Linked DNA regions of Saccharomyces cerevisiae S288C. Changing the gene in region 3 together with the main gene of any one other region gives a genetic interaction. Each region holds a gene or a part of one and is shown on either strand. Other genes may lie near its edges.

Region 1 (6,789 bases), on a different chromosome or scaffold from region 3:
TTGAATAGTTTGCCACCATATGATTTCCCACCGCTACCTGTATTATTATTAGGGCGTTCCAGATTAATAGTATGACTTTTAGACATTTCGTTGTCAATTATTTTGTCAACATCCTTATATTCATTGTTTTGCGCTTCCAGCTTCTCCAACTGTGCTCTTTTGGAATTCAGAGACTTTTTAATCATTTCATTTTGCAGGTATTTCAATTTTCTGTATTTGATCAATTCTCTTGCAGAAGTTGCCATATGAACAGATTCATTTAAAGGCTCATTTATATTGTAGTATAGTCTTCCAACTAATTTTTCTAAAGAAATCGAGGACCCCGAAAAGGCATTGCTTAAGTAAGAAAGCTGTTCGGCCAATTCCCCAACTTGAGCCTGTTCATGGGCAAACTGTGCAAATACCTCACCGATTTCATTGTAATCCGATTTCAAATCGTGATAAGTCTTCGTGGTTCGTCTATTATACTTATAAATCCCGTTATCTAACAAGTTCTCATATTGCTTGTAATCCTGTTCAATATTAGTAAACGACTTACTTCTTTCCTTATCCATTTTTTTGTCGTTGGACTCCTTATTCAACAATAACTGTGACGAGGAGCCCGGTATTGGTAACATGGCATGAATTCTAGTGGTGTTAGTGGGATCTAGTGGATTACACTGGAGGATGCTCTTCGGTAAAGATGAAAAAGTGGACGAACTGTTAACAAATTCATGCCAATTATGGTTATTAGGATCCAAAAAATCGGTAATTATAGATGTTTTTGTGATTTCTTCGTTCGTCAAAAGTTTGTTCAAGAACTCAGTGAGCATTCTTATCCTATGCCGTATTAACTTTTCATCACTATTATTGACCGACGCATGTATCACAGACAATGATAGATCTACTGAACCAGAACCTTCTGAGGGCAGCAAATACTTTGAACTCGAACCAGTTATTGACTTACCATAATTCTTTATTGACTGCTTTTCTGGAATCGGCGGTATCAACGTCATAGGAAACAATCTTATCAAGATACTTCTCAAACTCTCGAAATCGCTGTAACGTCTCTGAACGGTAGAATTTTCAAACTGAATAACATAGGCGATGTAGGCTCTTCCTTGACCTTCGGAAACTCTTTTCGCTTCAAGTATGTGTATCCTAGCGGACTTCTTTCTATTACTTACAGAAGGTTCTTCTGACGCAGAGGTCTCTCCGTTCATGGAGTTAATACTTCCACTAAGACTTGTTCTACATGTTTCTGCATTCGATTCTTGGTTTAAAGGCAATAATCCCTCAGAGTCATCCTCGTAATCTTCATTCGGGTTCTTTAGGTTATGGCTTCTCATACCGGGTATTTCTAATAAAGCTGATTTTGTGAATCCTGTTGGCCCCTCCTCCATGAATGGGTTGTCTTTTTCTAACAGGGCTGTGTGTACTAACTCAGTTTCTACTTTGTTATTGTCCCCCTTTCCAACCTTACCCTTTTTTGGGCTCTTTTTTGGCGATCCAACTCCATTCTTAGAAATTTCTGCCTCTGCCACATACTCAGTTGTCCCATGAGGTGGTTCAGCCTTTCCTGTATTCCGAGTTTCCGAATTCAATTTAGCATTTTCTTGGACATCATTTAAGTCTGACATTGTGTGCTGTAGAAGACAACTTTTCTAGATGGTATGTTCAATTGCACCACCAGTATTCGAGCTAGTCATCTCTTCATTTTGGAGATGACTTGCTGTAAATCGATAAATATTGGCTTACTCAATAGCCATATCTTAAAGGGGGCACAATGGGTGAGTTGTCGGGTAAGGGAATGTAGATCACGTGAATGAAAATTCAAGTGTTTTTCGAAAAGTTTCACCATGGCGATGAGCAAGATTGAAACAGCACTATTGTAACTATATAATTGCTAGTAAGCAAATAAGCCAAGCCTTATTAAAATCCGGTGAAAAGAATTGTTTAACGAACGTTACAAACTCTATACCTTTTTTTTACCAGCAAAATGGTTGGAGGTGCTCTCATCTGCAAATATTTACCACGCGAAGAGCAACTAAAGCTTATATCAGACTTGATTCAGAATGACAGCTTAGAAGAGGTGCTGGAGTTGATTGAAACTTCGCCACTGGATATAACGACGGACAGCAACATTGAAACACCAATCTTTGAAAAAATTACTGAGCAGGTCATTGCGTATGCTAGTATAGACGGTGAAGCCAGGGAAATGTTTCGCTCTTCGAGGGCTGAAATGAACAAGGCGCTAAGAACTTCTGCACAATTACTATGTTGTTTACCCAGTGTATGGCATAAATTTCAGGTGTGGATGAGCTACCGGTTAAATGACATCATTAGCGAAAACTATAAACATCTCTTCAATGACAACTTTGGAAAAAAGATTGTACAACCATTTTTCGATTCTTTTGCTGAGGAACAAAACGCTAATATCAAGCATGAAAATCTGCACTTAGATATCCTTAGCCTGCTTCACTACTTAGAAGTTGTATATTTATTTGACGAATGTAAGAATGGTATATCGTCCAAATGCCTAGATTTTATCATTGTTCCATTGTTAGGCTGTAATTCGGAAGAGATTGCTGATTCCTGCTCCAAGTTAATGAGATGGCATATCAAATATTTATCGAAATGCTGCAATACCGATAGTAACTTTGATAAGCTCATTTGGACATTTATCAAACAATTGTACGCTGAAGGCTCCCAACAAGCTTGGAAGCAAAAGAACAGTTTATCTTTTCTCCTAAGATTCCTTTTAGCAGCAGAGTTGTCTCCTGAACTTATTACTTATATAAAGACCGATGCTTATTGGAGGCACATTCAAACAGAGCTGGATAATGATGTGCACGAACACAGAAAATTGGCACTCTCAATTCTTAAATTAACAATTCAAAAACTGTCATCTCATGGTATAACATTGCAAACAACATTTTATAAATGCAATGATCTAGCAAATATCGAGATGCTGGGTAGCTGGAAGAAATTCACCACCTTATATGAAATGATTGCTCTGGACACATCATTGAATCAAATACAAGCGGCCAAACAAGATATAATAAAAATTTTTGATAACGAGCATTTACACCATAGTTGGGGCCTTATCTTGCTTTCTACGGGATTGAAATCATCAATGGAGAGTGTCAGAAAATACATGATGACGTTAATGTTCTCGATTACAAATATGTCAGCATTCTCTTCAAACTTGCCATTATTGACAAAAACTCTTCTTCCAGCTGCAATGTCCGCTCATTATTTTGATGTAAAAGGTGTCAGTTGTCCCCATGGTGAAAAACTTTCATTATTTGTCAATAACTTACTTTCCCAAACAACAGAAGGCATATCAGATATATTATTTGAAATTTTGAAATTATTGGTGGAAAAAGGGACCTCTTTTGACCCTTCTAGGATATACTTGTCCTACGGTATCTTAGTTTTCTTCCAGAATAACAAACAGAAAACAATCAACTCTGACCATTTGAGTCTGATCAGGAAATTGTACGATTTTGCAGCCGAAGAAGAGGTTCTCGAAACTACAATCCAAACAATTTACTTGAAGTTCTTACTGTACATTGATCCATCTGTCTCCGCATCTGAATTATTGTTTACATTAGTTTCACACATTAAGTTAAAGGGAGGGACATACAAATATGTTGAGCCTCTTTTTGAAGATTATAGGGATCTTGCCGTTTCTCACTTTGACGATTTGCAAGCGAAAGAAAACTTGACGACAAACATCGGAAAGGATACTATTTTTGACCTCTTAGCATCTATCATCTTCGATTTCAAGGATATTGATATTACTCCCGATTTTTTAATTGAAGTTGCGAAGTCGAAGCAAGATATACCCGTTTACACTTCAAAGGCAGTTACTTTTCTAACTCAGCTACTTTCAGGCGAACCTTCGAACGGTTATACCTATGAAAATGCAACCGCTTTGTTGTCTTACCCAAATTTTACAATATCTACATGGAAATCCATCAATGTGAATAATTTATTTAAGTCGGTAATGGAAAAATTTTCGCTTGATAAATTCAAGTTCTTTGCTGAAATTTACCAGAAGACTTATGAATGTAGGTTCGATACAATCGAGCTAAATTTTAATGACCTTCTGAGCCTATATGAAATGGTTAAAAAGTCTGCCAATCAGTGTTCAAGAGAGAGCTTTAAAGTGAAGGACAGCGCTTATTCTTCTTACTTTGAACTTTTAAATACCTTCCTGAAAACATACGCCTTAAATCGTGACTCTTCTGAAGGAAATGATGATGAGCTTCACATACTACTACGCTTAGTTGACGAGAATATTAACAAAGATAATGGGAATTATCTGGGGAACCTGGCAGTCTGTAAATTATTGTACTTTATCATAGATTCCTACATCCATTGCTCCACATCTGTTTCTGATGATGATATTTTCATAGTGAAATTCATTTTTGAGAAATTTTCGTTTATATGGGAATGTATTAATAGTGAAAGATTAGTTTTGAAGGAAAGGGATCTGCATTTGATGCTAATTAAGGGATTATTTCATCCTGTGATCCTGTACTTTGGATCAAATCAGTATATCGATACTTTGACCTCGAAGTTGGAGGAACATGCACAAACGATTATATCATTGAGTTATTCCAGAAGAAGCCTACTCCCTCTTCTCGGATCACAACTCAGAGTATTTATGAAGTTTTATGGGAAATTGTTAAGAGAAGATGTCAACTATTGGTGGTTGATTAACATTATAGTAGGTGTTTTCAAACAGCCGCAAATGGATGTCAACCTTTACAAGCTCAAACCTGTTATTTCCAGCCTATTTGACCACAAACTGAACAATTATTACATAAAAGGCGATGAACTTTATGAAAAGGTGTACGGACCCGACGAAATATTGGCTAGAGTATCTATTATTGATTCTATTTTATATGCAAATGATCAGTTGAAAATTCGATTAATCGAAAAAGTTACTGAAAAAACAAACGCACTTTATGCTATAAAGAGAACCGACGGTGCCGAAGCGTTACAGAGGTTGTTGCAGTGGCAATTGTTATTATTATCACTACTAACCACCAATGAAAAAAAATTAAGCGAAACTAGCATGATCAGAATTCTAAAGAGTATCGAGGATGAAAGTTCACCACTAGTAAGAGTATATAAAGAATGGTTCATTTCCTCAAAGGTTGTTGATTATTATAAAACTGGCAATCCAAAATTTGCTGAGGATTATCTCTTCTCATTGCTGGAGGATCATAGCAAACCGGTGTTTGTAGTTAGCGCAGAAAAAATATGCTTTATGGTGTTGAAAGATTTAAGAAACGACGAAAAGAAATATGGATTTACACAGTTACTAGACAGATTCATTTGCACGTTAGTTCCTAACGCAGCTTCAAACAAACCTCTGGTAAGGCATTTTTCTAATTCTCTAATAATTTCATTATGGCCTACATTCAAAGCCTACCTATCGGATCACACACTGAGAAACATCATTGAGAACTTATATTCCAATGCCAAAAAGACTCAAATATTTGGTCAATATCGTGCCGGGGATGCCAACATATGGGATCTGAAGGGTGATAGGAAATTAACGAACATGTTTGGTGGTGTGCTCAAAAAAGTTACCGACCATGATTGCCCGTACATTTCTGAGTCTGTTTTCGAAAAATATTTGCAGGAGAAAGATATTGTTCCTATAGGTACCGATGAAAGGTCCTTATGGCTTGATAAAAGAGACACCAATACGGAATCTGTTAACAACGCGAACATCTCCTGTGACACTTCTCCACTGCAAACAAAAAGTGGAGCTTGGGAAACCGTTCTGGATCTGGACAATAAAAAATCGAATGATGTCGTTACACGTTCTGAATTGATTGTGGTATCTTCATTAGTTGATAAGCCGCCAAACCTGGGAGGTATTTGTAGGTTATGTGATGTTTTAGGTGTGGGACTGCTTACTGTACAAGACATCAAAGTCAAAAACCATCCTCAATTTAAAAATGTTGCTGTGACTGCTGATAGATGGATGCCCATGGAGGAAGTTGCCCTAGATGAGATTGCAAGTTTCATGAAAGAGAAAAAGAAGGAAGGGTACACATTAATTGGGCTAGAGCAAACGGATAAATCAGTGAAGCTAGACAACAATTTCCAATTCCCTAAAAAATCATTGATCTTGCTAGGAACCGAAGCATTCGGTATTCCGGGGACTTTGTTAAGCGAATTGGATTTATGTTTAGAGATTCAACAATTTGGTGTGATCAGATCAATGAATATTCAAACGGCAACCGCAGTTATCGTTCATTCCTATACAGTTCAACACATGTAAGAATCAGGTTTCATTCCCACTTTTGTTAACCATGAAGTTTTTAGTATGTAAACTAATTTGTCTTTTTATCTAATTGTGACTATATTTTTATAAATTCTCCAGTGATCGTACTACGTCGGGGGCGTATTTCTCCACCATTGCAAGACCTTGCTTCAACAAATGAGGTTTAAAGCTTTTAACGTTTGAATCATTCAATGCTACTGATCTGATAGGTGATGTAATCTTACCATTAGACCAGGAAATGATTAGGCCATTATTGGCCACTTCGCTTTCGTTGGCTGCAGGGTCCAATAGCATATTGTTGCCTACAACGGCCAATATAAACACTAAAGGCGGATTAATGTCAAGCTTAACCATGTCGTAATCATGAAACGTAGGAAGTTCTTCCACCTCTAAGTCGTCAAAAGCTGAAATAAGTTTCGGTAGGTATGTGGAGTTCAACGCTGAATAAATAGCAAAGGATATTAAAGAAACTGGGTGTGAATGTGATGAAATGACCA
Region 2 (4,688 bases), on a different chromosome or scaffold from region 3:
CGGCAGTTTCAGAAAGAAATCGGAGGCGTCCTAACTTGCTAGATGAGTCGGACGCGGACCCAATCATTTTAAGCACGATGGATATGCTTCTTCTAGATGATCGAAAGAGTAATTGAATTTTTTCAAGTCATCATCGAAACCAGCAAAAGATTACGATATTATCCTTCTATTTACCGCAAAGTGTGTTGTTGTTATTATATGCATATTTGAGTATCGTGATCCCTTTTTTTAATCTATTTTATGCATGTAGGACATCTCGGCCGAGCGCAATAGAGGAACGGCCGAGATACTTATTTATACGCACCGCACCTATTACATTCCGCCTGCCTAACCATGCTCATTTTTTCAAATTGACGAGCAGGTTAAAAGAAACACTGCGAAATGTGAGGAATCTTTCCGTCTTGTCGAGTCTTAAAACAGTGGAAAAAACGTGGAGGATAACAGTGTTTCTTGTTTTTGGCTTGTTTTTTTTTTTTTAGCCTTTCCAAATATCCGTATTCTCACAAAGAAGGCATATCGCTCAGATTTTCACCTAATAAATCCCAGAAGGCATCAAAATTGTTGTTTTCCAATAGTTGATTTAAAGCCTCTTCTTCGCTGATATTGAAAAATTCTTCAGCCGTGTTTTGGGACATAGCGGTATTGGCTTTTATTGCGAAGGAACTGGAGAGAACTGCATCCTCCATCTGGCACAACAGAACTTGATTGAAACTCTGCAAACTCTGGCTGCTTATTAACTTTTGTTTGATTCTTCTCGAATTATTGCAGTCCAATCCCCATTTCAATCTCACGGCTTGTTGTACTTTTGGCGGTATTTCACCATCACTGGAAATCTTATCCCAAAACCCATTTGTCACAGATACTAAGCCGCCAACATCGATCAAATACACAACGTATCTAAACATGGGAACAGTTTGGTAAGCACCAAAGTAACTATCTTGAAGTTTTCCCTTTGCTAGATCCACTAAATGTGCCATTTGGTTACGAATGTGTTTAATAAGTCTTTCTAAAATGACAATCATTTCATCTTCTTTTTCATTATCGTTAGTGGATATACTGGAAGAGGCCAATTTTTTCTGACTTTCTTGCTTGTATGAAAACCTTAACAAAATACGACATTGGAACATCCAGATCCTTACAAGCATAAAACATATTTGTTTATCTATGATATAACCGCGACTCTCTAAAATGTTCCCTTGAAACTTATTCTCGAGATAATCAGATATCAACCCTGCTAGCTTTAAGTATGCATTGAAACTTTTCAAAGTAAGGAAATGATAGTTCTTTTCATATTCTTCCCAGTGCATAACACATTTTTTTTCAAAATGTAACGATAGGACATCAAAAATGTTTAAAAAACACATACTTCCCACAATATTTGTAAGAAATATTTCAGTTTTTTGAATATCCATGACATCGAGAACCGTACTTTTGCCAACTTTGATCGCATTTGGTTCCTTTTCATGAAGGGGTTGGTAAATCGAACTTGTAGGAAAGTTCTCAGCCATAAAATCTTCAGATCTTTTAATATTTCCTAAAATGTGGAAAAGCTGCGGATGTTGTATAACTGAAGTGCAATCAGACATTAGTTTACTCAAAATGACGTGAAATTTGTACTTATTCCAAACAATATCATTCATTTGCACGTTCGATTCACTCGCAGAACTTTTTTCATACTCTGAGGAAGCTTCAATATATTCTTCGAAGTCTGTTAAATATGCCTCCATATATTCACTATTTGATTTACCAGCATCACCTTCAGCAAGAGAAATTTGAAAAAGTAATGACTGAACTCCTAACCATAATATCCGTCTCTGCCTTATCACTTCTGGATCTTTGAAACGTTTGTACTTCGAAGGCTCATATTGAAGACCTAAGGTCATGGACAAATTTAAAAGATGGTGCAGAGTAAGCAAGTTAGTGGGGCTCAGTACACAATCGGGACTCTCGGGATCTAAATGCTCTGAAACGTAGAAATATAAAAGGCAAGTAAAAGTGTTCTCATTTGGATAGCGAAATACATCCAGGAGGCATAATAGTTTATGACATAAAAGAGAAAGTTTCCTGGCACTTTCGGAGGCATTTTCTTTTACCATTGAAAGAAGATTTGCATCCAATTTTGAATGCATCAAGGCCATGGCCATTACTATTGTAAGTAATGACAAAGTTTCTATTTTTTTGCGCACATTTTTAACTTCAGTACTAATTTTCCAACGATTATTGTCGTCTTGTAAAAGCAAACTAGTGAGATCGCTCTCAAAGAGTGAAATGTCCATAAAAGGATAGAAGGGATAAATATTTTGATAGAAACACCTCAAAAGTATTTCACAGTCTTTTTTTTGCATCAACACGTCTTCCACTTCAGCGATGAGTGACGGTAGAAGAGTCGAGAAGTTTTCTTCTTCCATTGAAAATGCATTGTATAATAACCCTAAGGCGGCAGACTGAACTCGAAATTGCTTACTATGTTCTATCCGTCTAAAAATGGCCTTTTCTATGAATGACAATGGTCCTAGTATACTTCTTGATGTGTCTTCACAAGGAATACCATTAGCATAATTGCTAAAGTCAACAAGCGCCATGCCGTACAACGAAGCACAAAGTGCCCTGATATACTGGTCATGTTGCGCCAGACTATGCGCAGCAAAAGGATAATCCAGAAATGTAACTAATCCTACTATAACTAGCATATCTTCGGCGTTCCATATCGACAGCGTAGCATTAACGACACCTTCAGGCACTTGTAAGGAATATCTAAGCCCAGTCCTTTCAAGTACAGGTTGCTGTTCGAAATTGAGCTTATGAGAGGAATTGAATCCATCAGAGTCGTTTGCTGCAACATTGGCAGATAAATCTGTTCTCTCTTCATATTCACACTGTAATGAATTTTGTTGGCATCGCGAGCAAGCAGGCCGCAGTTTATCACATTTCCGTTTGATCTTTTTGCATTGCAGGCAAACCAATCTTAACCGAGGTTTTTTTACTGTAATCGAATCCATCAGAGCATTTCAGCAGCCAATTTCATGTTCATTTGTTTATCTACCGCTTACATTAATAAAGTATTAATGAGTAACATTATTAGTAATGATGTCAAAATTTCGTTCTCAATGACTTGTAATAATGAGTGTAATAGTGATCTGCACGGGTCTTGAGTAGAAAATCTACCGAATGCAAAAATGTGAAGAATACACGCTACTATGTAAATCTTTATTTTTCAACTCATTTCAAACCATTGAACCATCCTCTTAGATAGCACAGTATATTAATATAGGCATTCTTTGTAAAAATTTGCGCTCTTCTCTTTTAAAATTGAAGTGCTTTAAGAGGACCTCATCAGACATGCTCGGACTCTAGATTTCGAAGTAAAAGCATGATTAACACTCTACCTTTCGGACGAAAATTGCATTAATGTACCTACTTAATGGGTATTCAGTTTTCAGATTTAATAGTTTGGCTTCGATACATATGAGTAGGCTAAGTATTAAGTTAAATCGCAGAACAAATGTAGACGTACTCGACATGAATGGGTAAAACCCTGCACACATTTCGTATTGAATAAAACTTACTGCTCTGCACTGTTGTCGAGAGATTCTAAATTTTCATCAAAATTTCCCTTAAGTTTAAGAAATATCCTATTCAAGAAATGAATGTCCCTATATATAGGTCATGTGACTACCGAAGAATTGGTTTAAGGTATACATACAATGCAAACCACTTTTCTCTTGTTATGTAATGGGTCATGATAAATTCCGAGATTTGACATGCATTTTAAGAGATTCTGAAAAATATTACGTATATAGACTATTTATGGAATTTCTTATCATAATCGACCAAAGTAAATCTGTATTTGACGTCTCCGCTTTCCATCCTTGTAAAGGCATGGCTGACGCCTTCTTCGCTGATCGGAAGTTTTTCCACCCATATTTTGACATTCTTTTCGGAAACTAATTTCAATAGTTGTTCGATTTCCTTCCTAGATCCGATAGCACTGCTTGAGATTGATACTCCCATTAGGCCCAACGGTTTTAAAACAAGCTTTTCATTAACTTCAGGAGCAGCAATTGAAACGATGGAGCCTCCAATCTTCATAATCTTAACGATACTGTCAAAATTAACTTTCGACAAAGATGATGAGCAAACGACAAGAAGGTCCAAAGCGTTAGAGTATTGTTCTGTCCAGCCTTTATCCTCCAACATAGCAATATAGTGATCAGCACCGAGTTTCATAGAATCCTCCCGCTTGGAGTGGCCTCGCGAAAACGCATAAACCTCGGCTCCCATAGCTTTAGCCAACAGAATCCCCATATGCCCAATACCACCGATGCCAACAATACCTACCCTCTTACCTGGACCACAGCCATTTCTTAGTAGTGGAGAGAAAACTGTAATACCACCACACAATAATGGAGCGGCTAGCGGACTTGGAATATTTTCTGGTATTTGAATAGCAAAGTGTTCATGAAGCCTCACGTGGGAGGCAAAGCCTCCTTGTGAAATGTAGCCGTCCTTGTAAGGAGTCCACATAGTCAAAACGTGGTCATTGGTACAGTATTGCTCGTTGTCACTTTTGCAACGTTCACACTCAAAACACGCCAAGGCTTGGGCACCAACACCAACACGGTCACCGATTTTTACCCCAGTGTGGCACTTGGATCCAACCTTCACCACGCGGCCAATTATTTCATGTC
Region 3 (3,813 bases):
TTTATTCACATTACTTTAAGTAAACTTCAGTAAACTACATTACATCATAAACAAAACATGGCTAAAGAAAGTACGGGATTCAAACCAGGCTCTGCAAAAAAGGGTGCTACATTGTTTAAAACGAGGTGTCAGCAGTGTCATACAATAGAAGAGGGTGGTCCTAACAAAGTTGGACCTAATTTACATGGTATTTTTGGTAGACATTCAGGTCAGGTAAAGGGTTATTCTTACACAGATGCAAACATCAACAAGAACGTCAAATGGGATGAGGATAGTATGTCCGAGTACTTGACGAACCCAAAGAAATATATTCCTGGTACCAAGATGGCGTTTGCCGGGTTGAAGAAGGAAAAGGACAGAAACGATTTAATTACTTATATGACAAAGGCTGCCAAATAGGCTATGTCGTCGGAGGAGATATTTATTACTTTTATTATTCTAGTTTTTTACAGTTATTTATTAATTAATTATTTTTATATGCATGCGAATAAAAAGTCTATATTTAAGTTCTTTTATTTATTAATACATTTTTTTTTGAGAGTCCTGTGTAGCCTATTTGTTCTTAGATGCAGATCCTCCTATAAGACATAACCTAGGATGACACATAAAACAGTCAAACGCCAGTTTGCCGCTACGTTGGCACCTGCGTTATTACCGCTCATTGAGCTTGTACTGCTGGAGGCGCTTCCGCTTACAGAAGATGTTGTTTGAGTTTGGGAAGTGACGGAAGAGGATACGGAGGATACGACTTTATCTCCGTTCTTAGTAGCAGTAGAGGAAGAAGAAGAAGAAGAAGAAGATGATGATGATGATGATGAAGCGGTGGAACTAGTCTTACTACTCTTCTTAGTTGAACTGCTGTGATCGGATGACGTTTTGGAGGAAGAGGTTGCAGTTGAGGAAGAACTCTTTTGGGTGGAAGATGTGGTAGCTCCCTTATGTGGGTCCAAGCCAGATCCCTCATCACTGTCCATCATGACCTCATCATCGGTAATAGCAATGTCTTTGGCCAAAAATTCACTGGACGAAGTATACACATAAGCAGAAGTACCATTCTTCTTGGTATCGCTTGGTGGATCATAACATGTGATATTAACTTCATTGACAATAGCATAATAATATCCTGGGTTGCTGATATCGGATGCGTCCCAATTAATTTCACCACCAGACCATGCAATGGTTCCTGGAGCGTTGGTAGAATTACCACCTGGCCAAATGGAAATATCCACCTTGGATGGGGTTTGTGGGTATTGATATTTTTGGGTGGTGGCGTTATAAGTTTCGTTCTTGTACAAGGTTCTACCGACGACACCATCGATGGACCATGTTACATAATCTTCGTGCCAATCTAATTCGTAAGTATGGTAGTTTTCAAATGTATCAGTAGTGGAAATATTGGCAGAATTCGTGTAGTTCAAAACACTTTCCCAATAGAAATTGGTTTGAGCAGTTTCTAGATCAGCACCGACGAATTCGTAATCAAGTTCATCACCTGCGCCGGAATACAGAATGAACCCAGTGACCACACCAGCAAGATGTGACGTCTTTATTCTAGCACTGACCTTACCATACCAAACAGCCCTCGTGGAGGAAAGAACGGTACCACCACTGTTCTTGGGCATCGCCAAAATTAAACTTTCTTCATCATCATAATCCAAAACGTCACCAGTATACAACCAATCAGCCTCACTAACATTTCCTAAGAAAGTGTTAGCATTCCCCAACTTAGAGGAATAATCTTTGAATTTAGTGGATGAACTCTTGCAGATAGGTACAGGCATACATGAATCATGACTAAACGAATATCTTACATCACAGTTGTTCAGACAATATTGACCAGTACCACATTCACCATATTGTGAGCAACATGGTTTATCTTCGGGACATGCTTGAGTTGCATTGCAAAATGTAGCGGCCTCTACACGTACCACGAAGGAAAAAATACTGACTAAACAAATTAGCCAACTATTAACGATTGCCATTATTAATTATATAATTAGCTTATTTGCAGGACAATAAATAGAAGTTTTACAAAGGGAACAGGGTCCAACAGAAACCATAATCACCAGGAATGTTGTTCTTTTTATACCTCAGGCATGTTTTAAAAGCCTCTTCTGCAGTTTTAATTTGGAAACTATCCACCTTGAAGATTCCCACTAAATCTTCGAAGGACGACGATTTTCTTCGAGGTTGAAAAAAGTTTTTCAAGAATTTTCGCGCTTCTTCCTAATCGGGAATTTATCTGTCATAATTATAATTCCCTATTTGGGAATTGGAACGAAATATATGCTACTATTTTAAAAATTATTCTGCACCATTCCGGAAATAACCTTCCGGTGACTGCAAGTTAGGCAACCTTATCATATGGTTAACTAGCATAATTACAAACGCGCATGAGGAAATTTAGCGAAACTACCTGCCAAATGCGGCGCTCTGGTTCAACTGTTTCATTTCTCCATTTTGTATAGCTCTACTGGATCTTCTTCGACACTGCAAACGACGCAAGAGCATTCTTGAAGTAAAAGAGGTAAATACAAAGCTGTTTACAGGCTCATCATCCATTATGAACCCTTGACTACGGAAACGCAGGATGTGGGAAATCGTTAGATTGCAAAATGAGCCTGACGAGTCCGTTCAACAACTATTTCTGTTTCTGTTTCCGTTACGGATTTCCTCTCCTCATCTTGTGCATCTGAGCTTATGCATGAACTCTCGAGGGGATTACTTATGGTGTCGTTTCCATTTTTCGATGAGTCTAATCTATATTTTTCTTGATTTTTTGGCGAGAGAATATGTGCAAATGGCTTCTGCTCTTCGCGGTCATTCCAATTAAGATTTTTACTGATACTTTCAAAAAATTCACTGGCAGATGACTCGATAGTCGGTACCGAATAGGGGCTTGCAGTTATCACAACATAGTCACCCTGTTTCAATTCAACTCTATCTTTTCCGTCAAAATTCACCCACGACGTCCCTCTTGAGTTCATATCTACTCTAACTTTTAATTCCATGCTATCTGGTAAAATTATAGGCCTAAAGCTCAAAGTATGAGGACATATAGGCGTCACCGCTATGGCATTTACGCTTGGCGATATTAAAGAGCCTCCTGCACTCAATGAGTATGCCGTGGATCCCGTAGGCGTGGCAACAATCAATCCATCTCCCTGAACCTTAGTCATTAGTGAGTCGTTTCCATAGAGTTCTAATAGGGATAAACAAGGAGCTGGACCTCTATCTATGGTTACTTCGTTCAATACGTGATGTTCGGAGATGAAATCGATGTAACATATTTTTCTCCCAGTTGCGGCATCAATTTCTGGTTTATTTCTACGGTAGAGTTTGCATTGCAACCTCATTCGTAAATTAATACGAACCTCATCTGTTAAGATATGTTTCAACGTTTCTTTGAAATTTTGAAATTCAAAATTTGTTAGAAATCCTAATGATCCAAGGGCAAATGGAACAATCGGCGGAACATCTTTCGTGAATATAGATGAAGCAAAAAGGACAGTTCCATCACCCCCTAGTGTAATCATCAAGTCAAAGAATGAATCGTGTTTTTTAACAAATTCTTTTGACCAATACTTTACTCTGTTTTTACTGCAATTGCTGTCTTTGCAGAGGTCACCAACAGCAAACTGAGTTGACTTTTTAAAAATATCTTGTACATATACAGTTATTGAATGGAAATTGCGTAAGATCCATTCCACCACTTCTCTCATGAGAAATACAGTGGAAATATCATTAATATTGCAGATTATTATCAGGTTTTCAACCTGCAAGTCAACCTTAGCATTTATAAGATCCTTTCTC

Evidence for each region.
Region 1: mutations in UTR2 (region 3) and TRM3 together harm fitness more than expected from each alone (negative genetic interaction), as found in Saccharomyces cerevisiae (2 studies listed by BioGRID).
Region 2: mutations in UTR2 (region 3) and RDS1 together harm fitness more than expected from each alone (negative genetic interaction), as found in Saccharomyces cerevisiae (2 studies listed by BioGRID).

What each region holds. Positions count from the first base shown.
Region 1 is NC_001136.10:256,937-263,725, forward strand, and holds TRM3 (tRNA (guanosine(18)-2'-O)-methyltransferase), read left to right. Parts: upstream 1-1,978; coding exon 1,979-6,289; downstream 6,290-6,789. Other genes in the region: ATG20 (Atg20p), read right to left, coding at 1-1,619; exosome non-catalytic core subunit RRP42, read right to left, coding at 6,377-6,789. UniProt on the Saccharomyces cerevisiae protein: S-adenosyl-L-methionine-dependent 2'-O-ribose methyltransferase that catalyzes the formation of 2'-O-methylguanosine at position 18 (Gm18) in various tRNAs.
Region 2 is NC_001135.5:309,269-313,956, reverse strand, and holds RDS1 (Rds1p), read right to left. Parts: upstream 3,000-4,688; coding exon 501-2,999; downstream 1-500. Other genes in the region: AAD3 (putative aryl-alcohol dehydrogenase), read right to left, coding at 1-67; ADH7 (NADP-dependent alcohol dehydrogenase), read right to left, coding at 3,802-4,688. UniProt on the Saccharomyces cerevisiae protein: Zinc cluster transcription factor involved in resistance to cycloheximide.
Region 3 is NC_001137.3:76,222-80,034, reverse strand, and holds UTR2 (chitin transglycosylase UTR2), read right to left. Parts: upstream 1,983-3,813; coding exon 579-1,982; downstream 1-578. Other genes in the region: CYC7 (cytochrome c), read left to right, coding at 58-399; YEF1 (NADH/NAD(+) kinase), read right to left, coding at 2,604-3,813. UniProt on the Saccharomyces cerevisiae protein: Dual chitinase/transglycosylase that plays a role in cell wall architecture. Chitinase and transglycosylase activities are coupled. Required for the polysaccharide cross-linking at the septa and the cell wall.